Notamacropus eugenii: one gene and its partner. The protein of the gene in region 1 binds, or shares a complex with, the protein of each later gene. Links are inferred from orthologs where the notes say so. Each region holds a gene or a part of one and is shown on either strand. Other genes may lie near its edges.

What was found.
Region 2: the proteins of TNKS2 (region 1) and SH3BP2 are in contact, whole or in part, in a crystal structure (PDB 3TWR), measured with the Homo sapiens proteins. The link is inferred for Notamacropus eugenii from reciprocal best matches to the Homo sapiens genes TNKS2 and SH3BP2. Residues at the interface, in NP_079511.1 of Homo sapiens: Arg525, Ser527, His531, Phe532, Gly535, Tyr536, Asn537, Arg538, Leu560, Asn565, Ser568, Tyr569, His571, Asp589, Trp591, Phe593, Glu598, Lys604; in NP_001116153.1 of Homo sapiens: Leu413, Gln414, Arg415, Ser416, Pro417, Pro418, Asp419, Gly420, Gln421, Ser422, Arg424.

Annotation. Positions count from the first base shown.
Region 1 is NC_092872.1:208,559,921-208,576,133, reverse strand, and holds the start of TNKS2 (poly [ADP-ribose] polymerase tankyrase-2), read right to left. Parts: upstream 6,817-16,213; 5' UTR 6,661-6,816; coding exon 6,456-6,660; intron 1-6,455. UniProt on the Homo sapiens protein: Poly-ADP-ribosyltransferase involved in various processes such as Wnt signaling pathway, telomere length and vesicle trafficking.
Region 2 is NC_092877.1:52,790,746-52,806,993, reverse strand, and holds the start of SH3BP2 (SH3 domain-binding protein 2), read right to left. Parts: upstream 6,379-16,248; 5' UTR 6,281-6,378; coding exon 6,093-6,280; intron 2,969-6,092; coding exon 2,829-2,968; intron 1,616-2,828; coding exon 1,513-1,615; intron 1-1,512. UniProt on the Homo sapiens protein: Binds differentially to the SH3 domains of certain proteins of signal transduction pathways. Binds to phosphatidylinositols; linking the hemopoietic tyrosine kinase fes to the cytoplasmic membrane in a phosphorylation dependent mechanism.

The DNA of each region.
Region 1 (16,213 bases):
GTATGTTGCAGTCCATGATTCACTGAATTTATAGAAAGAGCAGCAAGGTTTCTTGAGTGAGAAATGGGAACATCATGTGCTAGGTGAATCAAATCACTGCCACCATCTTCCCTGAGATCCAATGGAAAAGACTCTAACACTATATGCCAAGAGCTGGGAAAGTAACACCACACTCCTTCCCCCCAACCCCACACCACTGGCCCTCTGCCACCACGAAAAAGGAATAACCCTTGAAGGCATGACCCTTGGGTGCTATAGTACACGAAGACTTCTTCCACTCCTTCCCTTTAATCACAGCTACTGAAGACTCATCTAGGAAAGTTCTCATCACCAAAGTCCTTGACACTTTCAAACTGTTCAACTAACAAACAAATATTGTTTTAAAAATGGAAGTAATGCAAAAGAAGATGAATTCTAAGAACTAGTGGGCCTTTCCATCTGATATTCAGCCGAAGACTCCTATATGTGTTGTCTTCCCCTATTAGAAAGTGTACTGCTAGTGCTTTACACACAATAAAGGCTTAATAAATGCTCTTGCATTCAGTTTTCCTTTTCCTTCTGTCTGTACTTCTTTCTTGTCTCTTCTGTCTCTGTTCACTCTGGGGTTACTTGAAAAGACTGGCTCTTGAATTGGAGCTCTTCCCTTCCCTTTTGGTCAATCAATCAGAATACATTTATGTGCCTGTTGAGTCTCGGGCACTGTGCTAAGTGCTGGAGATACAGAAAAAGGCAAAAGAAAGTCCTTGCCCTCAAGAAGCTTTACAATCTAATGGAGCTAATGGTCAGAAAACTAAAGAGTCACAGCCTATCAGTTGTGTGAATCTTCTTCAGTTCTTTAGATAATTTCAAAAAGGTCCTGTATTTTTCTTTCTTAATTCCAGGTTTGGAACTATTCTGGATATTCAAATGTCCGAAGACTGGTTCCCTTAGTGTACTCCAAAAGAAAACCATGGCTTATTAATATTTATTATTATTATTGTTAGAATCAACTTTTTCTTTTTAAAGAAGAATTAAATGTATTTGGTCCTAATGTATACAATCATATTCCTCTAGTTCACATTATAGGTTACAAAAAGTCTGAACAGAAAAGATTTTGATTTCTAGATCAAGACTTAAGATGCAGGGATGCCAGACTCCTGATCAAGAACAGAGCACAACTAACAAATGCTAGTAAGAATGTATTTTCTCAGTGCCTTAAAAATTTAATAAAAAAAGTTTAAAACTAAAATGTGTTGGGGAGGAAGAAAACTGCCGAAGTACATATACCAAGCTAGATATAGGGAGTAGCTACAATTTATGAAAAAAAGAGACTAGCAAATGAGACATCCGAAAATTCTCAAAAAGCAAAATCCAAGAAGTCTCCAGTGGTAAAACCCAGCATTTCAAATGTCTATACATAAATGCCCCAAGTTTACATAAAAAGCAAGTCGAACTAGAGGTCTAAACATAAGGAAGCAAATTTGACTACACTGGTATTGTTGAGGCTCAGTGGGATAAAATCTGCCTGGAATATAGTTCTGAAAAAATATAAATTACTCAAAAGAAAAAGGTTAGGTAAAAGGAGGGGAGCATTAAGAAGGAATACTCAGGTTAAGAGTATTTAGGAAGCAGAGCATGGAAGACAGCATCTTAGCAAAGGTCAATGAAAAGAGTTAAGAGAAGTGTAGACTACATATGTTATCACTGGAACATACTAGAGAGTTTCTGGACAGAAAAGAAGAAACAGTTCAGGAAACATCACAAGCCTGGCATAGAGGCATAAAATAGTGATGTGGGATTTCAAACATTCAATCATTTGCTGGAGCAATACCTCCACCAAAAGCAATGCATTTGTCCTAAAGACAATTTCAGCTTTCAAAAGGTGAAGGAACCAACAAAGACACATTTTATACTGAATCTTATTCTAACAGAGAAAAGCTAGTTTCTGGAGGAGAACCTTGCTCCTTATTCCCCTCCCCCCCTTTTAAGTGACCTTGGTCTCCTTAATATTCCTTGAACTGGACACTATATGTCCCAAGTCTGGGCATCTTCACTTTCTTTCCCTTACGCTCAGAACCCTTTCCCCCTCCATCTTCCTCTCCTATTTCCCTCTGGCTTCCTTCACATGTCAGCTTAAATCCTACCATCTGCAAGAAACCTTTCCTGATTTCCCCTGAATGTCAGGGCCTTTCCTCAGTTGCTTATTTCCAATTTATTCTGTACATAGCTTCTTTCTACATAGTTGTCTGCATGTTTTCTTCTCTATTAGACCGTGTGTTCTTTACTTTTTCTTTTGATCCCTAGCACTTAGCACAGTGCCTAGCTTAATAAATGCTTGTTAATGAACCTTGAAGAGAAGTGAGCACTACCTCTTAGAGTTTGTGATGGAGAAAGAGAGGAATCACTGGGAATGACATTCTGGGAGTTACAGGTTCTGGGAGAACAGGATTCAAAGGGTTCAGTGGAAGGCTAGTTAGGAACCCATGAACCCATTCTACAAAGGAAGCTATAAACCCAAGAGCGAAGACTTTCAAGAATTCAAAGGGAAACAATTTTAGTAATGAATAAAAATGGTAGTTGCCTGAAGATATAAATGTAGAAGCAAAGAATAACTCAACCAACAACTTTTTTTTAAAAGGTATATTCAGAAATGGAAGGGCAGGTAACAGAGGGTATGGTTCTCTAAGAGTTGTCAACTAGCTGAACCATTCTGTGAATCAACGTGGAATTATTTGAAGAGAAGTACTGAAATGTCTGGACCTCGGACCTAAAAACTGTACCTCTAGGCATAATCCCCTAGAAAATCAGTAACAAAAAGAAAGGTCTCATATGTACCAAAGTATTTAAACAGAATTTTGGGGGGTTTGAGAATGAAGTGAACACCATATCATGTCAGAGTTTTTGGACATACTGGTTGTTTTTGCAGAACTCCCCCACCTATAATAATATATAGCATTTATTTAGTGCTTTTAGGTTTGCAAAGCACTCTGCAAACACCTCATTTTATCTAATTCTTGGGAGATTGTTAGAAGAGACAGAGTTCAAACTGAGCTGATGCTCATGCAAACTGAAGTATTCTAGGGAAAATGATCTGTAGGAATAAGCAAAATAATACATGCACAAAATGAGAATCTGATACCTAATCAGAAAATTCAATTCCATTGGTATGTTTTTCCCTTAAGAACTCAACCCTCGATAAAAGTATGGGATGTAATTCTATAGTGAAAAGTATCTAAGACTCTGAAGAGTTTCCTGTTTTTTAAAAAAGTCAACAAAGTAAATATTTAGACAAAAACTCTTGCAAAACTTAGTTGATATTTCTTCCCACTTTTTGGAACTAGAATTTTTCTAAAAATTTCTTGGCTGTACATACTACTTATTAAGGCTCCTTTTCTGCAGTATGTGGCCCTCATGCTACCACTACCACTTTGGGGGTGGGAAATCCATGACTTTTTAAAATGTAATTATTTGACTAGGAATCCAAGGAAAATGAAATTCTCTCACTCTCAATATTGTCTCTTTTAGTGATCATCAGTGTCCATGGGTTTAACTATTATCTCTATGTGATGAGTCTATGTATCAAGACCTACACATATCCAGCTATAGTCTCTCTTCTGAGTACCAAAACTACATCACCAACTGGATCTCATAGCTCCAAATGTCTTAAACAGGACTCATCTTTCTCTCCAATCCCATCTCTTCTCAGAAATTCCCTATTTCTGTTAAGGGGGATTACTATCCTTCTAGTTAACCAGATTTATAATCTTGAAGTCCTCAACCCTGAACTCTCTTATCCCACATATTAAGTCGGCATATCTCTCAAGTTTATTCCCTTATCTTTGTTCTCACAGACACTACTCTTATCACCTCTATATGAAGGACTACAAAGGCTTCTAATTGATATCTCCTACTCCAGGCTTTCCCCTTCTAATCCATCCTCCACATAGATGCTGAATAGATCTTATTCAAAAGACAGCTGGTTTAGCAGCAGGTCACTATCCCGCTAAAAAAAAAAGCTCCAGTAGCTCCCTATAGCCCTTAGGACAAAATATATACTCTGTTTAGCATTTAAAGATCTTCAGTCTGGCTCCAGCCCACTTCTAAAACTTAATATACACTCTTAAGTTTAGCCAAAATGGCTTATTTGCTGCTCCTCACAGAGGTCACCCTCAATCAAAACACATTTATTAAGCACTTACTGTATATTATGATAAGTGCTAGAGATACAAAGGTCAAAAATTGTACCTGTGCTTTCAACTTCCATACCTTTGCATAGGCTGTCCCCCATGCCTGTAATGGGCCCCACTCCTCACCTCCAACTCTTAGAATATCAATCTTCTAATGTCAATTCAAGTTCCTTCTTCTATAAGAAGTATTTCCTGACCCACCCCTCATTACTGCTTCTCTCACAAATTACCTTGTATTTACTTATAGTGTACTGTTGTCTCCTACAGAATGCAAGATACTTGAGGACAGAAACTGCTGCTTTTCTTAATCTCCCCAGTGCTACGTACAGTACTAGGCACATGGTGGACACTTAATAAATGTTGTCTGATACAGAAAAATGAAAAGTCAGCTTTTCCATGTAAAGTGGAACTACCTTACAGATGATAAGCAAGTTATTCAAAATCCTTATTACAAAATACAAGCAAAAACATTATAAGTGTATGTATGTATGTATGTGTGTGTGTATATCCATACACATATGCTTATTAGTCATAGAGAACCACCCAACATAGATATTTACAAAATATCACTGTATCAACATTACATAGTTTATAAAATGGAGGTTACAGAATTACTCTTCTGAATGGAAAGAAAAAAATGTACAAGTTCTATTCACTATTTTAAAACTAAGGAGTTCTCATTTAGATTGAATTTACAAAATTTAAATTAAAAAAAAACTTGCATTAACCTTTACTTTTACAGACTTTTCCCAGTTCTTGTCTCCCTCCCCTTTAAATTCTTATAATCAGTAATTGGAGGGCAAATTTAGGTGTAGGGGGTTGTTGAAAGGTAACATGAGGTCTCTGGATAAAGGTGGGGGAGGAGAAACCAACATAACTACAGACATCTAGATTATATTTTTTACCCATCTTCAAAGGCTTTTTCTACTAAATGCTTTCCTATCCCACAGACTGAGTGGACTCTAAATAATCTTATTTTCATATTATTAAATCAATTTGCTACATTCCCTCAAGTCAGGAAGCAGTTGTTTTACTGTAACCTACATTGCCTAACAGAAGTTCCGGAATGCTGGGCATGCCAAAAACAGAATCCATTAAAAAAAAGCCTTAGACACAATTGTATAAAATAGGAACATCAAGTCTTTGGTGATTTCCCATTTTGATTTTCCCATACTGCCCTTTCTCTCCCATGTTTTAGCAAGAGGATTTTTAAAAAAAGGGTGGGAGTGAGAGTCAAATTTGGTTTTTGTTCAAGAAAAAGGGAAACAAGGAAACAAAAAATTAGCACAAACTTTAAATGAAACAATACATGTGAACTTTGCAAACTGTAAAGTGATACACAAATGTCAGACTTTATTACTTCTTAGCAAAGATGGGATGGGACAGGACACCTTCCCCCCCCTCCAATGAAAAGTTTAGGTAGGGCTAGTCCCAAACAAATTCTCAAGTAGACGTACTAGGGGCCCACAATTTGTCCGGAATCCTTTTGTCCCACCCACTTATCAAGCTGGGCCCTTTTCTGACTACCCCCCTTCCCCCATTCCAAATCAAAATTTCCAAGTCCAGTGTAAAAGGAGACAAGTCCAAAGGTATGCCAGCCAATCTGCTGATCTTATTGTGTATTCCCTCTGTCACTCCCCCTCCCCCCTTAAAGTAATTTCACCCTCGATTTTCTAATAGCTCCAACTGGTCCTTTCCTTTCAGTTTGCAAAATTTTTTTATTATACCTATTTTTGTAATAAATACTCCTTGAATTGAATTATTCAAGTCTTACCCCCCGTAACTACTACATGAACGCTGCTGGTTATTACCCCCATTCTCCCCGTATTATAGCGTTTGCATTAGAACTAAGGCCTTTAGTGCCTTAACCCCACAATTTAATAGTAGAAATTTCTGGTAGGACACGAGTGAACATATAGGTCGGAGGGGGGGTGGGGGTGGCCAAGAGCCTCTCTAGCCTTCAAATCACCCCAAGAGTGAGTAGGGCAGCTCGTGGTCCCCGACCCAGTCGCTTTATCAGGACAGGAAATCCCGGTGACGAATTCGGGAGGTGAAAAACAAACAAACAAAACGCCACCTACATGGTGGGTGGTGTCAAGGGCCCGCAGCTTCCCCCATCCCCCTTCTCGGGGAACCTGGGCCCAGGGTTCTGCCGAGGAGTTCCGCCTGGGGCCCGGGCGCTGGGGGTGGGGTGTGGGGCTGCAACATCCCAGACCGCCCCAGGCCCGGGGCGTGGGGGGGAGCTGTGCGCTCCACTTCCGGCCGGCGGCGGTCCCCTAAGTTAGTTACCTGCGGCGAAGTGGAGGGGGGTGGACTTCCTGCCCGCCGTGTCGCGGCTGTTCACCTTCTCCGGGGTCACCAACTTTTTGACGCGCTCCACGTCCCCGTTCCGACAAGCCTCGAACAACTCCCGGGCCGCGGGCTCTACGGCCTCCCCCGCCGAGGCCGCGCCCGCGCCGGGTCCTCCCCCGCCGGCGCAACGGCGGCCGGACATAATCGCGGCCAGCGGCGGCGGCGACGGCAGGAGGAGGAGGGCGAGGCTCCCGGGGAGAGACGTACTCAGAGTCCCAGGCTGCTCCGTTCCGCTCCGCCCCGCCGTCACCGGCCCTGGCGCAGGACCATGGTCCCCCCCCTCCCCGCAGCGATCCCTGTGCCCAGGCCCCGGACGCCTCGAGCTCCCTCGGCTGCCCAGCCGCTCAGGCAGCGCGAGTCCCTCCCGCCCCGCCCCCCGCTCCCTGAGCGGCCGCGGCGACGGTGGCTGCAAAGGCCACTCCGGCTGGCTCTGGGGACTCCGGGAGGCTCACGGGACGGCCACGGATGCGCGTGCGCAGAAGCGACTGACGCGTCAGGCAGGTTTTGCTCAGAGGGGGGAGGGGCCTACAGGGAACTAGACTAGAGGAAGGAGGCCGTTGAGGCGCAGGCGGAGAAGGTCCAGGGCCTGGCTGCCATGTTGGCTGCTGGGGCCCCTTCCGCCCACAGTGCTCGGTTAACTACTTCTGCGCATGTTCTCTAAGGGGAGATTCATTTTTAAGCCTTTTGGCCTGCCGAGAGCGCTTGGGGACCTCGGCGCGGCGCGGAGGCCTGAAGCACCTTGGGGACCCTTCCTGAGGGAAATTTCCGGTTGTTTGCCTCCCCTCCTGTCGGCCCTGCCCCCTGCCTCCCCATTTTCTTTGCTTTTAGTAGCCGATTTCTAGAAAAAAGAGAGGCCCAGCCTGATTCCCGCCGTCGTGAAGGCCCGCCCCCCTTATTACTTTGTGTTCGCTTTCTACCTGGGAGAGGGATCCCCTAAGCAGCCCGCGCTCGGCAAGCCTTAGATCTCGATTCAAGGGCGGGCCTCGGGGATTCGCTCCTCTTTTTACACGCTTTGAGTGTAAACATCCCGAGGGCTAGGACTGTCTAGTTTTTGCTTCCCAGCCCGGGGCGGTGTAATTGTGTTTGTAGCCCCTTTGAGAGGAATACAAACACTTAGAAGGTGTGGTAAGAATGAGATGAATGAATGCTCGAATCCTCTCTGGACCCCTCGATTTTTAACTTCTCTGCTCGGACGCCGCGCGGTTCGGGGGCGCTGGGCAGTTACAACAGCCTGCCGTGGTCCGCCTGTCTCGAGTCTCTGCCCTAGCCAACCCAGGAATAGCCACGTCACCCCCAAGGAGAAAATCGTCCCAAGCCCTTCCTAACCCGGCCTCCTCCCGCCGTAACAGCCTTCTTACAACATACTGCTTCGCACCTACCCTCCTATCCGGTAACACTGGCTTGTTTCTTGAACGAGACACCGTCTCTAGACTGAGTTTTAACCGCCTGACATTCTCTCTTTTCTCCTCCCTATCTCTTGCTTTCCCTGGCTTCCTTCAGGTACCAGCTAAAAATCACATGTTCCACAGAGAGCTTTTCCTCAATGCTAGTGTTTTCTCCCTTATTATTTACATCCGAGCTTCTTGAAGACAGAGACAGTGTCTTTGTAGTCCTAGCTCTTAGAACCGTGGCTGGCCGAAGGTAAACGCTTAACAAGTATTTGTTGAATAATGATAAATTCTTTAGTCGATAGTAGAAATGTGGAGAGTACAGTGAGGGAATTGTATTTCAAATCTCACCCGAGAGGTACCTTGTCCTTGGACCTTAATCCTTTTTTTTTATAAAAATGAGAATAATAGCACCCAGCTCCCTGGGGTTGTGAAAATTTTGAGAGATAATAGGTTAATCACTAATAGGTAAAGTGCTTTGCAAACTTTAAAGCTTGGCTAAGTATAATATAATAAAAAAAGAAAAAAGGGTCTAGCTGCTAAAAACCATCCCCCAGCTTGTTTCTGAAAGGACTAGGCTTGAGGGTCTTTGTTACAAGATTTAGAGTTGTAAGAGCCTTTAGAAAGTCATCCAGTCTACCCTCTCCTTTTGGAAAAGTAATTCAGGCCTACTGAGGTCTCTAAGTGCTCTAGGCCACTCTAAGACTACAGGGATCCTATAGCATGTGTATATAATGAATGCATAATACTAAGGCCAGCTGCTTGAAGATAATGTCCCTTTCTTAAACCACCCCCTCAAACTACAGGCTGCTTTTTTGTGACTTTCTTGTCTTTTTCCTTCAAGGTTCATTGTTAGCATATTTCAATTATAAAAAAGGTTGAGTAGGTGGGGAAGGACACACAATGTTATTTGTCCTAGGAACTGCCTCCTCCTCCACTCTTTGTGTTCTTGAGGAGGAAAAACAGTATAAACTTTCAGCTCCAGCTTCTAGATCAAGATGCATTAGAGTCAAATACAAATTTATTTTTTTTTAAATAAAGCATATGATGACTATTGGCATTTTTGTTGTTGAATTCATTTTGGTGGTGAGTAGAAAATTGGTCTCAAGCCTCACATACTGGCTCTAAGTGCTTTAGGTCACTCTAAGACTACAGGAATCCTATATCGTCCCCAAGGAGTTTACAAGGTAATGGATGATAGCTATCAGATTCATACTGGGACTGCTTCATTTTTATTTTTGTATTTCTAGAGTCTGGAACATAGCAGGCACTTAATGTGTTTTGACTGATTGCTAATTGATACAGTTAGAGTACTAGCCAAGACAAATGTTTTAAAAAATGATTACATAGGAAGTATAGAAAGTTCAATTAGAGATCTTCAAGCCAAGGCTAGACATCACTAGTCCACTATGTTGTAGAGAGGATTTTTGTGCAGATTTAATTTGGACTTGATGGCCTTTAAGGTCTTTTCCATCTTTGACACTCTGAATACGTGTAGAGCAATGAGAAGTGTATAGAGGAGGAAGCTGCCTTACCGGAGACATCAGATGTTAAAGCAGTTTGAGGTTAGTGAAAAGAGCTTGCTAGAACTTTAGGGATTGTTACCTAGAGAATTTATATGAACTAACAAAAAATGAAGTAACCAAAGAAGAATAATTGTAACATCCATATTATAAAAATAAAAAATTTGAGGACTTTTAATAATGAACAGAACCAGAACAATTTATATAATAGCAACACTAAAACAGTACTTTGAAAGCTGTAAGAACTATGATCAATACCATAACCATTCATGATTTCAGAGGACTGATAATGAAACATGTTATCCATTACAGTCAGTAAACATTTTTTAAGTTCTAATACGTGCCAGGCACTATGCTAAGCGCTAGGGATATAAAAAGTGGCAAGACAGTCCCTGCACCCAAGCAATTCACAATCTAATGGGGGAAACAACAAGCAAAAATTTACAAAAATCTATATACATGATAGGGAAGGGACTAGAATGAAGAGACTGGAGAGGGCTTTCTGTAAAAGACAGGATTTCAGTTGGGACTTAAAGGCAGCCAGGGGAGTTAGTAGATAGGGAGCAGGAGGGAAGAGTAGTCCAGCATGTAGGACAGCTGGAGAAAATGCCTGGAGCCTTAAGATGGCCTATCTTGCTTAAGGAACAGCCAGGAGACCAGTGTCACTGGATCAAAGAATAAATGTTAGGGAGTAGTTGTAAGAAGACATGTAGGAGGGGGCTAGGTTATAAATGCACTTGAATGCCAAACAGAAGATTTCATATTTGATCCTGGAGGTGTTAAGTGCCACTAGAGTTTATTGAGTTGGGGGTGTGTGGTGAGGGGGATTGGGAAGGTAATATGGTTAGACCTGCACCTTAGAAAAATCACTTTGGTGACTGGAGGATGGATTGCCGTGGAGAAACTTGAGACAGGTAAACTCAGTAGTAGGCTATCATATAAAGGTGATGGATTTAGGATGTAGAATGAGACATATATTTTATATGCAGCCATTTAGGGAATTTGTTTAGCTTAAATGGGAGTAGGAGAGAAAATAGATTTCTGGTTTGTTTGTTTTTTTTAGACAAGTGGGAAGACCCACAAATGTGAAATGTTGTATAAACTTTCAGATAAGGTTACTATATTATTACTTTTGCTGTTTGTTTCATCATCAATAAAACTTTTTAAAAAGAAAATTTGTAAGCGTAAATAACATCACTACTTTTCTGGTATTGCAGTGACTTCTGTAAATTTTTGTTTTGTCTCTTTTTGTTTTGTGAATTTTTTCATAGAATGTCAAATTCAGGGAGAAGTCTCAAAATCCATCTAGTGCAATATGCACCCACACAAAAAACCCCTCTACAACATAACTGGCAAGTAGCTTCACCTCCAGCAATGGAGAACCCATTACCTCCTGAGACAGTCCATTCCACTCTTGGATAGGTCTAATGGTAAGAGTTTCCTTATGTGAAGTCTAAATATACCTCTTTGCAACTTCCACCTGTTGCTCCTAGTTCTTCCCTCTGGGGCCAAACAAAACAAATCTAATCCCTCTTCCATGAGACAACCTCTAAAAATACTTGAAGATAGCTATCATGTCACCATACTCATTACTGTAATTCAATCATACTCTTGCACTCAATAACTGGTCATTTTCTTCAACAGCAATAATGAGATTTCTCAAATATATATACATGTGCACACATAAATAAAATAGCAAGCATATAAGCTAGTTTACATAAATGCTTATGTTTATTTAAATATGCATATGTTTATATATTTGTTAAAGGGGAGAAAGAACCCCTGATAATCGGCAAAAACTTCATATCCTCCTTAGTTCCTTTTCTCAGACCTTTGTGTTCTGAGACAATTGCTCCCACCTAGTGGTTTAAAAAGCACACAGACTTTTAAGGATTAGTAGAATAGAAAAGAATATGAAAGACCAAGTCATTTTCAATTATGCATAATTTGGAATTTATCTGCTAATATTAAAAAAAAAATGACCAGTGGAAGTAGTGACCTGCTCCCTATCCATGCCTCTTCCACTTGGACTTTCAATTATCTTCGCATTATTCCCTAAACCACTTATTGGCCTGCTCTATGATATAGTGAAGTGCCCTTCCCTCCCCGTGCACCCCTCCCACCCAGGTCTCCTTTGTGTATTGTCTTCCCTCACCAGAATTCGAGCTTCTTCAGGGCAAGGTCTGTCTTGCCTGCTTGGATTTGTCTTCTCATTGCTTGGCACAGAATAAATGCTTAATACATGTTTCTTGTCTTCTCCTTAATATGTTAAATCATATTAAATGTAAGCACTATAGTACAAGAATGTTTGAAAATTCCTTGTTTGGAAACAGAAAATGGTCAACTAGAGCTATCAGTATAAAAGGAACCAGCTTAGATAGTATGATTGGCTATATCGATTGATTAGAGTATGATACCAATTGTGTGATTTGTTGTTATTGTGGCCATTTTGGGGTTTTCTTGGCAAAGATACTAGAGTGGTTTGACATTTCCTCCTTCAGCTCATTTTGCAGGTGAGGAACAGTCACCTAACTTGCCCAGGATCACAGAGTGAGAAAGTCTCTGAGGTCAAACTTGAACTCACGGAAGCTGAGTCTTACTCCAGGTGCCGAATTCTACTCATTATGCCACTTAAATGACTAATTACATTGTTGAAAGAAAAGTCAATTGACTTTGCTCTTTCATAGAGACAATCTCTCTTAACTTTGGGTCAACCATTCTACAAATAAATGTCATTGGTCACTGGGAGTCTGAGGGAATCTAGAAACAAAGACACATCACATATACATTGTCCCTAGTGGACAAAATTTAGCACATTTCTTGGCCTCAGTTTTCTCATGTGTAAAATGAATATTTAGGACTATATGATGTCTAAGGTTTTCTCTAGCTCTAAACCTATTAAGGAAAGGGTAGTGAGCCCCTCATGTGGAGAGGGGCCACATATGGGGACGGTTTATCCTTGTGTGGCTTGAAGGGAGACAGAATAGACATCTCTAGTCTCTTTTCTCCTTGGCTTTTTCCAAGGGAGGCTTTCATTCTTGCAAGTGGGTAAGCAAGAAATTGGGGGCTAAGGCCACTCTGATCTCCTCAGATAGAATACTGGGCTAGAAGTATATCTTATCTGCTTCCTTAAATATTGTTAATCTAAGGGGATATGATTGGGTTCCATGCAACTTTTGATAGCTTTGTCCTTTTGGGAATAAGGATCCTAAGCTCTGTATACAAGGCTTGACCCCTTCTCCACCTAATACCAGTTCTACAATGAACACACATATAGCAAAGAAACCTATTTATACAAATCAACAACAAAACAGAAATAAGGGAATGTATACAAGGGAGAATATATACCAGACAGTATGAGAGTGAAGAAGCCCACTGAGAGTGAAGTAACAGCTCAACCAACATCTCACTGGAGGGGCAATTACCTGAAATCTCTAGAGTAGCGAGTGGGGAATAGGACCATGATAGAGACTGCCAGCTCCTCACATGTTTTCTCAGTCTTTCCTTCAGCAACTTGAAATGGGGTTGGTTTCTTCCGTTTTTGTTCTCAAAGCAGGAAGTCAGAAGCACCCAAAGCAACTTGCAGTTTGAAGAGTCTTGAAGAAGACTGATGCTTCAAGAGTCCCAAAAGGAACTGACCAGGAAAAGGGGGACCAGATGAGAATTGAAGCTCCTCTTGTCAACTCCATCCTACCTCTCATTCAGGATAGGGCATTCATCTCCACTAATGAGGAGAGAGTTCCATAACAATGAGTCTTGACATAGGGGTTATATCTATGATTCTATGGTCCTACATGCCTTATATTGCCTTTATAAATTAAGGACTACACACTTTGTGTTGTGTGATTATATATTGATTGAATCCAGGAACTTGGAAGTTTGTATGTTAAAATAATTCAACATTTCCATAGCACTTACAGATGTTCAAAGTACTTTCTCACAACAAGTCTATGTGGTAGATGGTATACATGCTATTATCCCCATTTTATGGAAAAGGAGACTGAGGCTTAGAAAAATTAAGGGACAACTATTGTCATAAATCATTTAAATATCAGCTAGGCCTCAAAACCAAGTTTCCTGACTCTAAACCTAGGACATTTTACATTAATGCTATATTATGGGTTCTTCAGTGTTTACAATGTTTTATTTTTAAATAAAAAATTAACATTTTAAAATTTTGATTTCCATATTCTCTCCCTCTCTCCAGCCCCCCCCCCACCCATTGAGAAGGCAAGCAATATGATACCCATTATACATGTGAAGACCTTCAAAATATATTTCCATATTAGCCAGGTTGCAAAAAAAAAAGCAAGAAAAAAGTGAAAAAAAGTTTAAATCTTCACTTAGAGTTCATCAGTACTTTCTCTGGAGAATGGAATTATCATGGATCATTGCATTGATTGGAGTGGCTGAGTCTTTCACAGCTGATAACTGTTACAATATTGCTATTACTGTGTACAACATCCTGTTAGTTCTGCTTACTTCACTTTGCATCAGTTCATAGAAGTCTTCCCAGGTTTTCCTGACCCTATCTCCCTCATCATTTCTTATGGCTCAATAGTATTCTATCACAATCATTTACCACAGTTTGTTTAGCCATTTCCCAATGGATGGGTATCCCCTTAATTTCCAATTCTTTGCCACTACAAAAAGAGCTTCTATAAATATTTTTGTACATACACGTTCATTTATTTTTTCTTTGATCTCTTTGGAATACAGACCTCATAGTGGTATTAGACAGTTCCAAATTGTTCTCCAGAATGATTGAACCAGTTCACAACTCTGCCAATGTTGCACTGGTGTATCTATTTTTCTACATCTCCTCTAGCATTTGTCATTTTCCTTTTCTGTCATGTTAGCCAATCTGAAGGGTGGTATCTCAGAGTGGTTTTAATTTACATTTTTCTAATTATTAGTACTTTAGAGATTTTTTTTCCCCACCCGACTATTGGTAGCTTCAGCTTCTGAAACTTACTTGTTTTACCCTTTGACCATTTTTCAGTTAGGGAATGGCTCTTATGTTTACAAATTTGACTCAGTTCCCTATGTATAAACAAGGAATGAAGGATTTATCAGAGAAAGTTGCTATAAAATCCTCCCCACCCCAGTTTCCTGATTTACTTCTCATTTTGGCTGCATTGATTTTGTTTGTACAAATGTTTAAAATTTCATGTGATCAAAATTATCCACTTTGCATCTCTCACAACCCTCTCTATCTCTTGTGTAGGCATACAATTTTCCCTTATCTATAGATATAACAGATAATTTTTTTCCATGCTTCTCTACTTTGCTTATGATATCACCCTTTATGTGTAAATCATATACCTGTTTTGATCTTATGTTAGCATACAGACAGTTCTCACTTTATATAAGTAGACTGTTCCACAGATCTCTATTTAGAGCAATTTTTACATTGTGTGAATTTTCCCCTTCCCACCTACTTCATTTAGCATATATGACAAAAGCATAAACAAAATAATACCTTAATACAAGTCACAAAATATACCAAAGTGCAGATATATTAAATACTGTACCATAATAAGCAGAATTATGAGATGAAAGGTAAAGTTAATAATAAAGTATGCAGAGTACATACAGTAAAGTTAACATGTGTGCAGCATGTTGCCCCTTGAAATCACTCCTGATCCTTAGGTTATAATAATGAGGTAGTGTTAGTGGAAAGATACACCACTTTTATATTTTCATTAAAATCATCCATATGGGGAAGGTGACCTGGGGATTTATCCAAAATCAGTAAAATCTTGAAAGGAATACCATTATCATCACAAAACTTTACAACTTCCTGAATGAAATAGTGTATAAACTATTATTCAAAGATGATAAGGGTTATCCATGCCTTAGTGACATAATACTAAGGTAATGTTGCCTTTCTGATTCCTTTCAATGCTCTGGGATTTTCTGAGTGGCTCACAAGAACATATTTTAATTTGCAAGTCTTAGATGCATTACTTTCAAGCAGAAGAGTAACTCTACTTTTCAAAGCTTTATGCCCTAGCAGAGGTTTTTTTTCTCCACTGAGTGATATAAGTTTGAGATGGCATTTTTTGAAATAGGCCAGTTTCTTTCATATTAAAGAGTTGCTCCAGCAAGTTGGGACCTTCATCTGTAATATTTTTTTATGCAGGAACCCTGGGACATTCTTTGTTGCTTCCATATCTGCTCTAGCTTCCATATATGCTTTTTTGTTTGCTGCTTCCATATCTGCACTAGCAGCAGCCTCTCCACTTGCACGTAATGAAATCCTGCACGATTTTAAAATCCAAACTAACTACTTCTTGCTGTAGATAGATGCCTGTGTTCCTCCAGGGTACTCTAACTTTAAACCTACAAAGAGGCTTTGAACCTTCACTTAATTTGTCATCAAGTTTAAAGGAATATTCTTCTGAGTCTGGTCATATCCATATAGTTAATAGTTTCTCCATCTCTCAAATAACATCTTCTCTTTGTTTCAACAGATAACTCAACTTCATGCAAGCACAGCCTTTTTCATGTTCCTTTATTTGGGCAGCATCCTTCACTACTGTGTTCACAGTCAACACTGCAGACTTAAGTCACTGCTATAGATGACAATTTTTGTCCTCCATATTTTCTAATTCTTTTCATTTCCAAGTTTAGTGACTTATTATTAAGAAATGGTTCACTTTCTCCCTCAAGAACACATTTACACCAGCCATGATGAAAATATGAGGATGACTATTGAGTACTGGTGAGGGTGAGAACTTACTTAGAGATGCTTCTCACTGTTGTTTATGCTGCCTACGTG
Region 2 (16,248 bases), on another chromosome or scaffold:
TCCTACAATAAAACTTTGTCAGATTCCCCTGGCCCATGACAATCTGACACCTCAGACCAGAATCTCAGAAGCAGGAAGGAGCTCAGAGACCATCTGCTTCAACCTAAACCTGAACAGGAACTCTTTTTATAACATCCCTTACCAAGGATCGCCTAACTCTTGCAGACCTCTGGTAATGGCAATCTACTACTTTCTGAGCCCTTTATGAAGCTTTTCTTTATATCAAGACAAAATATGTCTTTGTAACTCCAGCCCAGTTCCATGTCCTGGGGCCAAACTCAACCATTCCAATCCTTCCACACGACAGCTTTTTCACAGATTATGTGAAATACAATATTACATGTAGCTTTCTCCCAATATCATAATTATGCATGTTAGTGTTTTATCTCCACAGCCAGGCTGAGCTCCAAGAAGGCAGAAACATGGTCTCATTTAAAGTTTGCAATTTCCTCAGATCCCAGCACTCTGGATACAGCTGAGGATTAATATTTGTTGAAATGAACGAATACATTGCCACATGAAGCTCAGTGACATTTAAGAGCCTGCTGGGTGCACAAATGGCTTCAGTTTTTGCTACAGCCTGGGCCAGTGTGGTCTCCCTGCTGGGTTCAGCTACCTAGAGGTGGGTCCGAGCACTTCACAAGTTCAAATGACTCAGCTCACCTTCTTAGAAGAGCTTGTCAAGCAACCAGGATGTGGGATTGTTTAGAAGAAATGAGAAAGGCAAACAAGGACTGACTGGTATCATGACTTTGAGAGCTGTAAATGCTGTGGTCTTTCACTGACCAGTTAAGGGGCTTGTGTATTTTAGCACCACACCTGATGCTCTTACCTCTCTGTACTTATCACGCTCTGCTCTCTACTTTAGGTATCTCTATTCCAGTCTGATCTGTTCCCTCTCCCTGGCCCCTCTATGGATTCTTAAGTGTTCTAGAGCAGAGAATATCTCCAGTTTATCATTCTACCATGTTGTACAAGACCTGTCCCATGGGTCCTCGGTATATGCTTGCTAAATGAATGTTCCATAATAAGCTACTGACATTCAAATGGTTCAACCCTGAGCAAATCACTTAAGCTCTTTGAGCGCCAGTAAAATGGCAAAAATTATAATAATAATTAAATAATAGTTGATGTTAATAATATAGCATGTTATAATATAACATGCCAAACATTCCAGAACAAGAGTGCATTCTGATGACTGTCAGTTCTAACCTTGGCTGAGCTATCAATTCCCTCCTTAGCATCAGGCAATTCTTTTGCCTATGACTCAGGGATAATAATCCTTTTCCCATACCCACTCTCACTGGGCTGAGGGGTTGGGGATGGGATAGGAAGGGGATAGTGATTTCCAGGAAGGTGCTATATGGCCAATAAAAGTGATCAAAGTAACTGACTGAGAACACATGGGAACAACTCAGTGGGACATGGTGTTGGATAATTTTGTTAGATTTCATAGAAAACGGGGGTGGGGCCAAGAATGCCTGCTTACCTGCAGGTACCAAGTCAACTCACCGATTATAGCCACTCAGGGAGAAGGCTCCCTGGGGAGATGCTGATGTGCTGCTCTTAAAGTAATAAATACATCTCTTGTGGATAATCACAAACCGCAATGGCCCTAGAGATAAAGAAAGGAAAAGTTTATTTTAATATATTTTGCTGATTTAAAAAAAATTAATTTTCCCAAAACCCTCTTTGCCCTTGCCTCCACCTGACATTTCTATACTGCTATAGGCCTGCAAAACCCTTTACCTGGGATGGCTCATTTGCTCCTCAAAACTACCCTTGGACGTTGTACTAATGTATTACTTTCCCCATTTTACAGATGAGGAAACTGAGGTTCAGAAAGATTAACTTATTCATTTGTAGTTCGTAGCTGGTAAGTATAAGGAGTTAAGATTCACACCTCAGTCTTGTCTGATTTCTTGTCTAAATAAAGGGTTACAAGCTAACTGATAGCCATAAGACAAGTGTTATTTATGGATTTCTGCAAAATAAAAATACCATTGTCCCAGTGTGCTTGTGCAGGACATTCAAAATAGAATGAAAAGATTCTCTAATTCTCTTATATTCTATAATTCTAATAGGGTCCTGGAGGAGAGCCATCTTAGAGGGACCGAATGGCTTTAAGAAAATGACTCCAACAACGTCCCCTCAAAGGTTACTTATTGTCCTGTTCTATGAAGCAATATTAATTTTTACCTGACCCTGAACTGTTTCACTATGTTTTACTGTAATGGGAAATTTCCCTTTTTCAAAATTCCTGTAAATGATATTTCAAAAATGTGTGGTTCTGGAGAGATGTCTTCAGCAAGAAGGGACTCTGCCAGTTTGAATATCTCTCCCACTAAGCTAGAAAAATGCTTGGATAAGAATAACAATAAATTAACTAAGATGGTTTCTGACAGGTTTGTGCCTGTAATGCTCAGTACAGTATTAATGTGTTTTTTCTTCAATACAACAGACACTTTATGTTTATAAAACATTTACCACTCTTCAAAGTACTTTCACAAACATGGTCTCATTTGACCCTCTCAAGGAATATCTTGAGGTAGGGAGAAGGAGCATTAGCACCAACATTTCAGGATGAGTGATTTGAGATAGTGACGAGTGAGCTACCTAACATCCCACAGCTTAGCAACAGCAGTTGAGTCTAAGCTAGAATGCAAAATCTTCCAATTCTCAGTCCTGTGTTCTCTTGGCTATGTCATGTTGGCTCCCTGAATATCTCTAGATTACTCTGATGGTGAGGCCCATTGTGGGAAAGGGTAGGTGGCTAGATGGGTAGGGACTTCAGGAGACAGAAAGGGAAAATAAGTGATAGGACTTACATTTTAGCAACTGCAGCTGGGTACCACCTTTTTTGTGAAGGTATCCGGACTTGACCACGCCCCCAGGCATTGTCAAGAGGTTCTGAGCTCCAATGGCCTTCATTGGCACAGGCCAATGCTGTTCCTCTGAAGCCATCAAGCTGAAAATAATGGAAAAGGATGAACTGGGTTTGGGACTTGGACAATTACTTGGAGAAAAAAACAAGGAGAAAAAAATCGAATGTACTTCTGGAAATAACAAATAAGATATATCAGTGTCTCAAAGATTCCAGGAAGTATGTAACATGGCAGCTTTTCAGAAAATCCCCAGGGATTTTTTAAAAAATTGTCTGTTTTTAAAATGGCTTTGTGGATATTCAGATTTTTATGCCCTTAATACAAGCTAGAAGAGTATGACCAATCTAAAGTTTGATGGCACCAACTTTATTAAAACATCTTTATTTCCTCCATCTTCTACATCTATCCTAATTCAACAAAATATGAAAGAATCAACTTTTTGTATTACTCTTATATTTCTGGTTTGCTTAATGCATCAGTGTCCCTTTTACTCTGGAGGTCAAGAGGATGCACTAATGATCATTTTAGGTGACCATCTCAACAAAGAGGCAGAATGAAATAAGAGATTCTGAGTCAAAGGAACAACTCCAGCTGCCTGGGTACACTGGACAAATCACTTCTCTCTTGGTTTCTTCTTCTGTACAATAAGGGGTTGGACTATATTTTTTTTGGGGGGGGTGTCAGGCTAGTGATTTTCTTGGTACAGGAAACTCCCTGTGAACAACCATCCTCAACCAATGCAAGCACCTCATCTGCAATTTATAGTCTTAGAGAACTACCAGGGACGCTGAGATTAAATTATCTGCCTAGATTCATTCAGAGACTAAACTATTTTAAAGCCTCCTTTCAATTCTAAATCCTATGATCCTATATTAACATATATGTATGTGTATATATATGTATGTGTGTATATATATAAATATCTATATCTATCTATATATCTATCTCTATATATAGTGCTTTACGAAGCACTTTCTTTACAGCAACACTGGGAGGTAAGTGAGCAGCAAGGCACATTGGAAATGATGGTGGATTTAGAGTCAGAAGACCTGAGTTCAAATCCTGACTGCCGTTTATTAACTATGAGAATCCACAAGTATTTATTAATGGCCTCCTATGTGCCAAGCATCTTGCTAAAAGATGGGGATTAAAAAGAAACGTAAAAACAGGTCCCTGGTCCCAACGAGCTCACATTCTAACGAAAAGAAAAGCAACAGTGGTTTCTGAATCCTTGATGGATCCTTTCAAATAATTTAACCTCTGGCGCTCAATTTCTTTCTCTTTGAAACACAAGGGGTGAATGACATGACGCTTCTAGCTCTAAATCTATGATGCTCTCCTCCTCTTTACAGACGTAGAAACTGAGTTTCAGAGGGAAAGGGACACACCTATGGGTTAGAAAATTTTTTTAGTGGCTAGCACTCAAACTCAAAGTCAAACCTTTTGACTTCAAGTCTAATGCTCACTCAATTTACTTCATTTCCCATCACCAAATATCAAGACTTATTGTGTGCCAGTCCCTGGAAAGATACACAGTTAGATACATACTAAGATTCTGTCCACATGGTACCTAGCAAGGTAGTAAGCCACACAGATAAATTACAAGAGAAATGCATTAGAGCAGTGCAAATAAAGGACTAAGTAAGGTCTGCAACAGAAAAGTGGGGGAAATATACTTTTGTTTTATGAAATGATAATCCAACTACCTTCCAGCTAACAGCCATACTCTAGGGGCATATGATAAGAAGAAATCAGATTTTGCACAAAGTAGAGGATTTCTTGCCAATTTAGAAAATCATTCCAATTCAACAGGAGAATGCTGGCTGCTCTCTCTAGAAAGGATACCTGTAGGAGGTGCATGTGAGATAAAATTCACCAGACAGCACTTTTCTCCTCTCTGCTCCCTACCCAAGATCCATCACAGCAAAGCACTCCCCACTATGGCTGTTTGCGTCAATTACAGCTGTTTAACTAAGAATCATGGAGCCATCCTTTGATCCTGGATAAGCTTCAGGGGATAACAGGAGCAGGGCTCTTTCCCTGAAAACCAATTTCATCTGCCTGATGTGGCACAAAAGGCCCCTCTTTCTTTCCCTGAAAGTTAGAATCAGAATTACTTACTAGGTTAAAAGGGGGGGAGGATGCAGAATTAATCAGCACCTGTCTTTCACTCAGTCACAGCCCTCTAACAGAGGACTGGTCTGAAACGCTACCTTTCTTATGTGAAAGAAAACCTGTAACAGCCAAAGGAATCTAGACTGACCAAAACACCCTAAAAAATCATAATAGTGATGGCAATTCAAATTTTCCATAGTATTTTAAAGTCATGGTATTTCGCTTACCAAAAAAAACAAAAACAAAAACAAAAACCCCAAACCCTGTAAGGCAGGGAAGTGAAGGCATTATTTTCCTTATTTGACAGGAGGACTATGAGGTTCGGAGGAGTTAAGTGATCTGCCCATGGTCACACAGCTAGTAATTGTTAGGAGCCCAAACCTGAACCAAGGTTTTCTGTCTTCCAAAGGCCAAAGCTCATTCTGCTATGCTCTTTTCCCCACTGACTGCTGTTAAACCATTCAGAATGGACAGACTAGGGGCAAAGAAGTTACATCTCACAGCAGCGCGCCCCCACGCTCCCCGCCCCCCTTCAAAAAAGAAAAAACAAAGAGACTCCAACCTTACATATACACAAAGCAAAATATATGATGGGTTAGATTTAGAAGACACATAATGAAACATGAAAAGGAAGCACCCCTCCCTCCCTCCCCCCAACCCGCCCTGTAGGAAAAGGCGAGGCATTTGTTCAACCCTCACTCCCAGCTCATTTCCAGCTCAAAAACATGAGCCTGACACAGAAAGACTCACACTGATGTTGGAAAGGAAAGGAGGGACCGCCCGGTTTGACTAGATAGAGTCCTCTCAGCAGTTCCATGTACTCACAGCACACGTGGCCGTACAATGGAGAGAGATTGGGTCTTTATCCTGGTGCACTGATTTTATTTAAAACGGATAAACAAACCTTGAGAGTGTCCCTCTCATTCCTCAAAAAGGTTAAAATCCTCCCACAGGTCTGGGAGCTTGGTGATCCTCAAGGAAGTTAAATTCCAGGGAGACACACACAGACACATATAGAAACACACAGAGCATTTGCTCTCCTTTGTTTAGGAGAGGGAACAGGAGGTGTGACCTGCATGACAAGTAACTTACTGCTCCCAGGCACGGTCCTTTCTATCCTGGACATGAAGGCAACTTGCGCAGTCCTCGGTCGTCTGCCCAGCTCTCAGCCTTTCCTTACACCTGCAGGCTTCCAGGTCTCCCTCAAAGCTAGCCCCTACTCCTGACAGTCTCCTCAGTGCCTCCACGGCTTTCTGACCCTTACGGGTCCAGCTTTCCATCTCTCCACCTGATTCCGTTTTCTCGGTCCCCGAACAGATCCTCTGTTGAGCTGGCTCTTTCCAAATCAGCTCTCCATGGAGACTTCCTTCCTCTATTTCCTGGCATCCAAGGCTTCTTTTCTCAAGTAAGCATTTCTTGCTCTTACCTCCCTCCTCTCTTGTCAATGCTGCCCCCCAAAGTGCATGACCACATCTGCTCTCTTATTTCCCTAAGGAATGCAGGGTTTTCCTGCAGAAGCCACCTCACAAGGGCTTTGACTTCAATGTGATTGTTTTTCTTTACCCCCTACCCCCACCCCCACCCCAGCTCTCCCACCTCCCAGACTCTAGATGAAGAAGGAGAAAGCTGAATCCATTGGGGTGCTAGATGGCAGGCTGAGAGGAGGTGACAGCAGGGAAGGGATAAAGAAAGCATGAAGCAAACCAGGGAAAAGGAGGCAGACTTCAGTACAACCTGGTGAGGAATAAACAGAGACAGGGTGGACCCTATTTATGAGGCAAGGTATCATTTGGCTCCTGAGACACACAGTGATAGACTTCAGCAATCGCAGCTACAGCTATCAGACAAATGAACATGTTCTCACATGCACTTAACGCAGCAAAGCTTTTTGTTATTTATGGATTCTTTGAGACACACCCGCATCCATCAGTAGTAACACCTTCAAATAGGAGGGATAACACTCTGTTCATACACTGGGTAGTATCAATACACACCCACCATTCAAGAAAAATTAAGTACCTACTGTGTGACATGCCAGGACCTGAACAAAAAGATGAAATAAGGGGAATTTTTTTTAAATCTAGAACTACAGATTGTTAGGCGTAGAAGCGAATTTAGAGGTCACTTGGTCCAATTCCCTCATTTTGTAGATATGGAATCTGAGGTGCAGAGAGTTAACTGTACTAGATCACACAGCTAGTCAGTCTTTGAGTTCAGCCACACAGCCTTCAAGAATCAGTTCGAGCCCTCCAGGAAGCCTTCTCTGACCATGTCCCAGGCCATAATCACTGAGATTTCCTTTCTCTAAAGCTCTGACAATCCATATGGACCATTTGACACGGAATAATATATCTTGCCTTTTAAAAAAAAATTTAACTTTTCATGCCATTGCATCTCTAAATAGGCTCATGAACTCCTTAATAGTAAAGGGCTCTACCTTATATTTCTCCACATCCCCTTTAGTTCTAATGTGTGACAAGATCCTGTAGACATTATGTGCTTCATAAATAAATATCTATGGAATGAATGGATCTGGCAAAGAAACACACAAGAAACCTATCCTTCCCCCCCAGAGCAGCTGCTGATCCTAAACAGCTGGATAAAACTCTGACTCCTGACAATACCCTTCTGAAAAAACTGAAGTTACAAGGGTTCAGGGTGGGGATGCTCCAAACTCTATAACCAGCAAAGGCAAGGTGGCCTTCTGTCATTATGAGACTGCCTACTTCCTTAAAGTTATGGAATATATAGTAGGGGTCTGAATTAAATTCAGTAGTGAGTAAAAATGGAATTTTGGAACTGAAAGATGCCAAATCCTCTCATTTTATAGATGGTAAAACTGAGACTCAGAGAGGAAATTACTTTTCCATTGTTATAGAGCAAATGACCTAGCTGAGGTGGCCCTAAAACAGTTTCTCTTTCACTCACAAGCCCAGCACAGTTTCCACTACAGTTTAAAGCCTCTTGTAATATTTCTGAATGATTTATTTCCTATTAAATTCCCATGTTGTCTCCCTAGTTAGACTGTGGGCTTCTTGAGAATAGGCACAATTTTTGCTTTTCTTTGTTGCTTTAGTGCTTAGCACAGTTCAGGCACTGTGTAGGCAGGCACACAGTAGGTCCTTAATAAATACCTGTTGACATGTAATAATAAAGCTAAAGGCTGCGGAAGTGAGAGAGATCCTAATGATTATCTAGGCCAGGGGTCTGGTGAAGTCTGGAGATATCTCAGAATAATGTTTATTACCTACATTCATAATTGGTGGTTGTTCAGTCGCTTCAGTTACGTCTGTCTCTTGTTTGCCATTTCCTTCTCCAGCTCATTTTAATTTTACAGATGAGGAAATTGAAGCAAAAAGAATTAAACAAATTGCAGCTAGTAAGTGTCTGAGACCAGATTTGAACTCAGGAAGATGAATCCTTTGGAGTCTAGGTCTGGCACTCTCATCACTGCACCACCTAGCTGCCCTATTCAGAACTGGAGGAAATGCTAAATTTCAGTAAGAGGTTAGTTAAAGATACACACACACTTACAGACAGACAGACAGACAGATAGACACACACACACACACACACACACACAGATGTAATTTTCCCCCTCATCTGAGTCCACAGTCTCCCTGAAATCTCTCCATGGACTTCAAGTTAAGAATCCCTGTTCTAGGCCAAGGAGGACATTAAGACCCAGAGAGATTGCCCAAGGTTACCCAGCAGCCAAGATGCTAGTCTGAGTCATCTACAGTCTCTACTGTCTCTCATTTTTATAGTACCTGAGACAGTGTTTACTAAATGCCTGTTGACTATCTGACTAGACTGAGTCCGGGTCACATCTCCATGACTTACAAGCTCTGAGATGTATTTTCTATATCTGTAAAATGAGAAAAATAACATACCACTACTTGCCTCACAAAATTGTCCAGAAAATACTTTAAAAACCTGTCAGTGCCATAGCAGTGTGAACATGTATTCTACATGTACTGTGCTCTACAGTTCAGCCCAGTGAGGAGAGTGCTGGACTTGGAGTCAGGAAGACCTGAGATCAAATCCTGCCGTGGATATTTTGAAGATGTGTGACTTAGGGCACCGTCTTTCACCCTCAGTTTCCTTATCTGTAAAATGGGGATAACAGCACCTACTTCTAGGATTTTGAGGATCTAATGAAGTAATATATGAAAAGTTCAATGCTAACTATTATTGTTATGATTTTTGCTATTTCCCGCCTCTCATCTGACTGACTCTTCACATTCCTCAGAGGTATTATCTGCCTTTAACAAAGGAGGAAATCTGGGCTCTGAGAAGTAGCAAAGTGACTGTCTAGGGAAACCCAATTTATCAATGGCAGAGCCACTTATGACTGGAGGGCCTGAAAAGATTCAGTCCTTGTCTGCAAGATACTTATACTCTTGTAACCAAAAAAGAAAGGAAAATATCCTCCAAAAACATAATAATAACTCGAAGCATCCTCCAGTATCCACCTCGGCACATAAGGGAAGAGAAAAGGAGACTGGAAAAGGGAATGTATTGGATTCAGGAGAGATGGGGCTGGGTGCAAATCCCTCCATTTCCTCTGGCTGTGCAGTTAGGCTGTGGACTCCGTGAAAGCAGAGACTGCCTCCTGCCTATGCTTAGCACAGTACTGGCATACAGTAGGCACCTAAGAACTGCTTACTGACTGGTTGACAGTTCACAGAAGAGATTCACTAGAGGTTTCTTACAGGGTTGGGTTGGGTCAGACAGAAGAGAAGTTTAACTTGACCTTCAGAGACTAAGGTCTTGAAGATGAAAAAGAAAGGGGGCACTCTGAATGTCCCTGGATCATTAGTTATTCACAATGATTTTTCTCACACCACAACAACTTATAACACAATGCAATAATGATAATGATAAAAACATACTGTGCTAAGCCTTTTACAAATACCATCTCATTTAATGTGTTCATAACCCTGAAAAGTAGGTGCTGTTACTACCCTCATTTTACAACTGAGGAAACTGAGGCAAACAAGCAGCTTGCACAAAGGCTCCACTTACTTAGCCACCTAGCTGTGTTATACTTTCCAAAGCACTTGCATTACTGCTTTTTCTGAGGAAGATAAAGTTGAAACTTCCCACCACCCCAAAATAACTGGTGGTTAGAAAACAACATTTGGAAAATGTAGTTTAATGCAGCCCTTCCCAAATTTCACTTTGTCTCCAACTGGCCATTGCAGAGCACCAGGATGCAGTGTGGGAGGCTGTTGCTGCCCAGCTGAAAAGTTAGACCCAATCTTCTAAAGCATTCCCCACTCTCCCTAGCCACACAAACTCCATCAGATTACATAAGGCCTGGCTGAGCTGAAGCTCTAACTGCAAGGCTTTACCTTCCCTAGGTTAAGAGAGCTGAATTTGGCTGTGTTCAGAGGCTGCTCTCCAATACAAATGTTGCACAAGGATGTGAATCCCTGTTTGCTGAGAGGACTCTAAAATAAAGTTCTCACATGCAGTCCACTGAGCCACAGCTGCCCTTCCTTCTCAGGCAGCCTGCCTGGTTCTAGAACAGTCCTCGTCAATGGAGCATTGTGACCCTAGTATATTCACATCTGGTGATAACTCAGCCCAAATTCCATGTGGCAGCTAATGCCACAGCTATTATTCCTAATCTGATTCTCATAAGAGGCAGGATCTGTCATAGCACAAGAGATCAGAAGACTCAGTTCAGCTTAACAGAAAACTTATTAAGTACCTGCCATCGTACAAGACCTGGTGCTCTACTTGGGGATACAAACTTGGAAAATGACACACTCTCTTCCCTCAGGGGGTTTACTATTTGCTGGGGGAATGACCAGTACAGAGGATGACTTACAGTAGAGTGTAATCATTGGGACAAAGCAGTAATGTAGGCAAAGTTCTCTAGAAAAATCTGGGGAGGGAGAGGATTGAGGAACATTTTATGGAGGAGGTCTGAACTGGACCTCGAGGGACAAAACAGTTTTCAACAGGCAGAGATGAAGAAAGAGTAAGTTCCAAGCACAGAGAATGGACTGTAAAAATGAACAAAGGTCAGAGGAGAAAGGTCTAAAATTAGAAAACAGAGAACTGGATCATAGCATGTATATGAAGCAGAATACAGGAACAGGGATGGAAAAATAGAGTGAAACCAGATTATGGGGGACCTTAAAAATCATGATTAGGGGCTCACTTTATTTAACAGGGGGCTCTGAGCAGAAGAGTGACATGGGCAGATACTTGTCTTGGGACGATAATTTTGGCAGCCACATAAATGGACTGATGAAGGGATACAGTGGTGAGAGGAAAGGTCCACCACACCCAAAAGTTGAGACTGTCCACTGAGTATGCCCCCGAGAGTTCATCAGAGATGCTACTGGAGACATCATTTCCTGTGAATTTCTTGGTGCACTGTTATGAAGTGAAAAAAGGGGGAAGTAGCATAAGGCACAACGCCCAACACTCAGTATTGCAAAGTATGGGGGGAAGGGGAGAGAAACAAAGCATGAGGGAAATTCAGCTGCTTTTGCACAACAACTGCATCATCTTGTATTTTCAGGAAAAATCAGTGGAACTTCCCAACCGACGTCTGAGAGCTTCTTTACAGTGAGACTGACTTACAAGAAAAAACCAAAGCCAAGATTCTGCCCTTGGTCCTGACTGGCACTCAACTCAATTTTAATGATTATTTAATGGATACCTCTTGAATTCCCAGTCGCAGGGAAGATGGTAGTGGTACCTAACATACAGCTAACATCTATAGAGAGATTTAAGGATTATTTTGCTAGCCATGCACCAAAACAAGACGCATCCATTTACCCAAATGAGATTTTCATCTCATGTGATCCTCCAATAACCCTGTGAGATAGGCAATATTTTGATCCTTATCGGACAGGCAATATTTTTATCCTTATCTTAGCCATAAGGAAACTGAGGCTGGGAAAACAAGTGTATGAGGCAGGATCCAAACTCAAAATCTTTCTGACTTTAATTCCAAGTCTATCCCCATACCACCTTGCCCTGGAGGGAAGTTGAGGAGACTCCAGTTCCACAGGGGTAGTGAAAGAGAGAATTGCTATCTCTTTCTATAGTTAAGTTGCTGGATTCTCATTTCCTCCTACCTTCGTCATATCCATTTTTAGAGCTAGAAGCAAGAGGGGCACCTCTAAATTGGTGAGCAGGGAAAGGTACCCTATGATTCCAAGCTCACTGAGAGAACTTTAAAATAAAATTCTCACATGCAGTTCACCAAGTCCTAGCTCTTCTTCCTTCTCTTTCCTGCTTCTAGAACAGGCTTCTCAATGGAGCCCTGGGACTCTGGTATGTTCACCTCTGGTGAGAATCCATCCCAAGGTAGTAGGAACACAGGGGACAGGGGAGGGTAGAAACAGTGGGGATGAGAATATTCAGGGCTTTCTAGAATAGGAGGCAGGGTTTCAATTCAAACCATTCGAAGGGTTGAACACATCAAAGAGGGACAAAATGCCAGGGTGCTGTGGCCAGGTGCTGTCTTCAGCTTTTGCCAAGGAGAGAGGACAGGCATTCATACAACTACAATGTGAAAATACAGTACATATGTACTATACATATACACAGTACATAGTACAATGAAAAAAAAAGTACACAGGGGAAGGGCACAGTTGAGTTGAATATTATAAAGCACAGACCACCATGTTATGGTAGGACACTTGTATCCAAGCTCTGCTCTGAAGTGACTGTGGGGCCTGGGTCCCATTTTCCTCAACTGTAAAATGGGGTTCAAAAAAATCAGAGCTTTGGAGCTGGAAGAGACCTTAGAAGTTATAGCATTGCCCCCCTCCCCACCGCCGACACTCACATACACACTACCACTACCACCACTACCACCATTTTAAAAATGAGGAAATTGAGGCCCAGAAGTTAATCTGCTTTGCCTACTTCATCAGGTTGTAAAATGGGTAAAGGGTAAAACAGGGAAATAATGTATGTGAAAAGGCTTCAATAATTCTGTAGTGGAATATTCATCATAAGGAGTGATTATTTTTTCTTTTTTAAATCTCCAGCAATAACTTAGTGGATGGATTTCTAAGATAGGAAGGTTTACCTGAAAAGTGAATTAGATGATTATAGATAAGCTGTCCCTGGACCCATGAATCCAGGAGCTCCATCCAGGGAAGAAGATATCACATCTCTTAAGTCTAGGGTCAGAGTCAACAGAAACTTTCTGACATACCACACCAGGCCCTTGTATGTATATATGTACACATACGTACACAGATGTGCACACAAATATGCACAAATACAGGCAAAACTGAACTGAGGGTCGGGAGGAATTGTGTAGGTCAGTTGGACAGAAGCTTTCTGCAACTCTGCGGGAAACGCAGTCCCAAAGCTGAGCATAGGACTTCCGGCTCAGTCTTAACCATGAGAAAGTAGAAGAACACCTCCTGCCTTCACTGAAGGGGAAGCCACAGGGCAATCCCCTCCCCTTATCACACTGCAAATGAGGTAAGGAAGCCAGCATTGTCTGGGTGAGAAGTTGGGGAAGCTCTGGTTCCACTAGGGAGTGAAAAGGAGAGAATTACTACTGCTTTCTAAAGAGTTAAGTTGCTGGCTCCACGGCCCCCCTGCCTGTCACATCTGTTGTTCAGAGCTAAAAGAAACCTTAGAGATGCATAGAGATTATAGACACCTGCAAAACTGCAGGACACTCCCCTTCCCACACTTTGGGGTATAATGAAAAGTTTGTTGGACTTGGGATTAGAAGACACAGTTATAGACCTTCAGCCACACAATTTCTCTCTCTAGACCCTAGCATCCTCAGCTATGAAGCGCAGGGACTAGATGCCCTTTAAGTACCAACCCCTCCAAATCCCTAAATCCAGATACATTGAATGAGTGATGAATCACACAGGAGCAGTCAGATGGAATGTAATTGCAGTCTATATGGACCTCTTGCTTTCCTATCCCTAAAGTTCACCCCAGCCCTGCTTTATGGCATCTCCCCAGACCTTTCCTTTTGGTACTTGAGCCCATTCAACTCAACAGCTTGGTTCTCTGTCATCTTCTCTTCCGTATTCTGCCTTTTCTTGTGGAACTTGTCATATTCTGCCTTGTATTATAATTATCTGAATCTATAGCCACTGCAAATTCCCTAAGGACAGACACTGGGTGTTTTCTGAATGTTGTAGACTCCTACTCATAGATCAACAAATATTTTTCCAATTGAACTTTATGTCACCCACAACACCTTGCACTTAGGAGCACTAGGTAAATGACTTAAAAAAAATGAACTGATTTACTACCGTATATGATAGTAAAAGGTCTTAAATTATTTTGTAATTGACTCATGTTAGTCTTTTCTCCCCCAGAGATGAAAGAGGGCTAAAGTTATCTTCTTTGGGCTCCCCAATGACACTTAAAGGAAAAAGTGTCATATCAAGAAGACATCCTAGGGTTCTGCCTCACACTCGTCAGATTAGCAAAATGACAAAAAAAGGAAAATGACGAATGTTGATGGGGCTGTGGGAAAATAGGCACATCGATGTATTGTTGGTGGAGCTATGAATTGGTCCAACCACTCTGGAAAACAATTTGGAACTATGCCTGCAGAGTCACTAAACTACATATCCTCTGACGCAGTGATAATATATCATTAGGCTTATATATAACAAAAGAGATCAAAGGAAGAGGAAAAGGACTTACACATGTAAGCATATTTGTAGCAAATCTTTTTGTAGTGGTAAAGGACTAGACATTAAAAGAGTACTTATCAACTGAGGAATACACAAAGAGAAGGAGAGTAGGTAGGAAATCCAGACAGACAGGAGAGCTTGGAAAAAAAAGATGCTGCATGTATCCTATAGTTAAGAGAGAAGCAAATGGTATGTGGTATGAAGTCGTGGTTGCCTGAGTGGTCCTCTTTTCCTGTTCTGCTTTTTACTTGGAGGTGCTTATTTTATTTGGTATTTAAGATCAGAATAGAGAAAATAAAAATAAGAAAAACCAGACATATCAAGCCTGTGAAAATTTAGGAAGTGAAGTACTTTTGGGAAATATTTGTATGCAACTTTTCCCTGACCAAACCAATAATCCCAAATATGGTTCCCTCCCTTTCCACCCCTACCTCTTCCCCACAAAAGAGAAGTTGTATGATGTGGTACACTGGACTTAGCCAGGAGACTTCAGTTTGAATCCTAGTTCAGACATTTATTAGTTATGCGAATCATATGAAAAATGAAAATAATACACTCCCTCCCTCACAGGACTGTGACTGCTATATAAATGGAATTAATATTTATGTGATTTTTCTCATTTAGAAAGCTTCTGGGATCTGATGGTAAAGGGTACCCAGACCAACCCAAATTGAGACGGAACCCTTCTTTTGGTCCTTCCATGTTACCTCTTCCTGTAACCCACCTGGGCTGCCCACAAAGACTCTAGACAGAGTGCTCCATTTCAGGTCATATTCCCCCAAAAGTGAAATGAAAGAAACTGTATCAAGGCTTAGTATGACTGTCTTTGACTCCAAATTTGGGTCTAGAAATACTAAAGCTGAAGTGCTCCAATCCCTTGTTGGGGAAGTCAAAGTACAGCTCATGTGATAGCATATTAAAGTGGGAGATATGGTGGGCACTGGTGGATTTGGAATCAGAAGACCCGGTTGCAGAGCCTCAGTTTCTCATCCTTAAAATGGGAATAGTGTTGACACTAGCTACCTGAAATGGCAGTTGTAGAGAAAGTATTCTGTAAACCTCAGACCCTTATAGAGATGGAAGTTGCCATGACTATGGAGACCTGCCCTCTTATTCACAGTTGACTTGAATTATGGTGACTGGGTAGTTTGAAGGAGGAAAAATACAGTTCTAGAAAATTCCTGTTAACATGGAGAGGCCTTAGTTTTAGCTGCCAATAGTCCAGGGGGATTTTCTATAGGATCCAGATGTGAGGGTCATTCCCTTTTGAGAGAGGTTCATACTATAAACTCTAGGGGAAGGAAATATGCATTGGTTGCTATGTGACATTTCAACTCATGAATTCATAGATTTAGATAGAAAGATAGATAGATGGATGGAAGGGCCCTTAAAGATAATCTAATCCAACTCTCCTACCCCATTTAGCCAACAAGGAGAATGACGCTTAGAGAATGACTAGCCCAAGGTCACATACATAAGTGGTAAGTAGCACAGTTGGGAATGGAACCTAGGTCCTCTGACTCCCAATAGGATGCTCTGTTTACAATTCAACTTGCTTCTGATTTCCAGTGCACCACCTGCTCTTTGAGAAA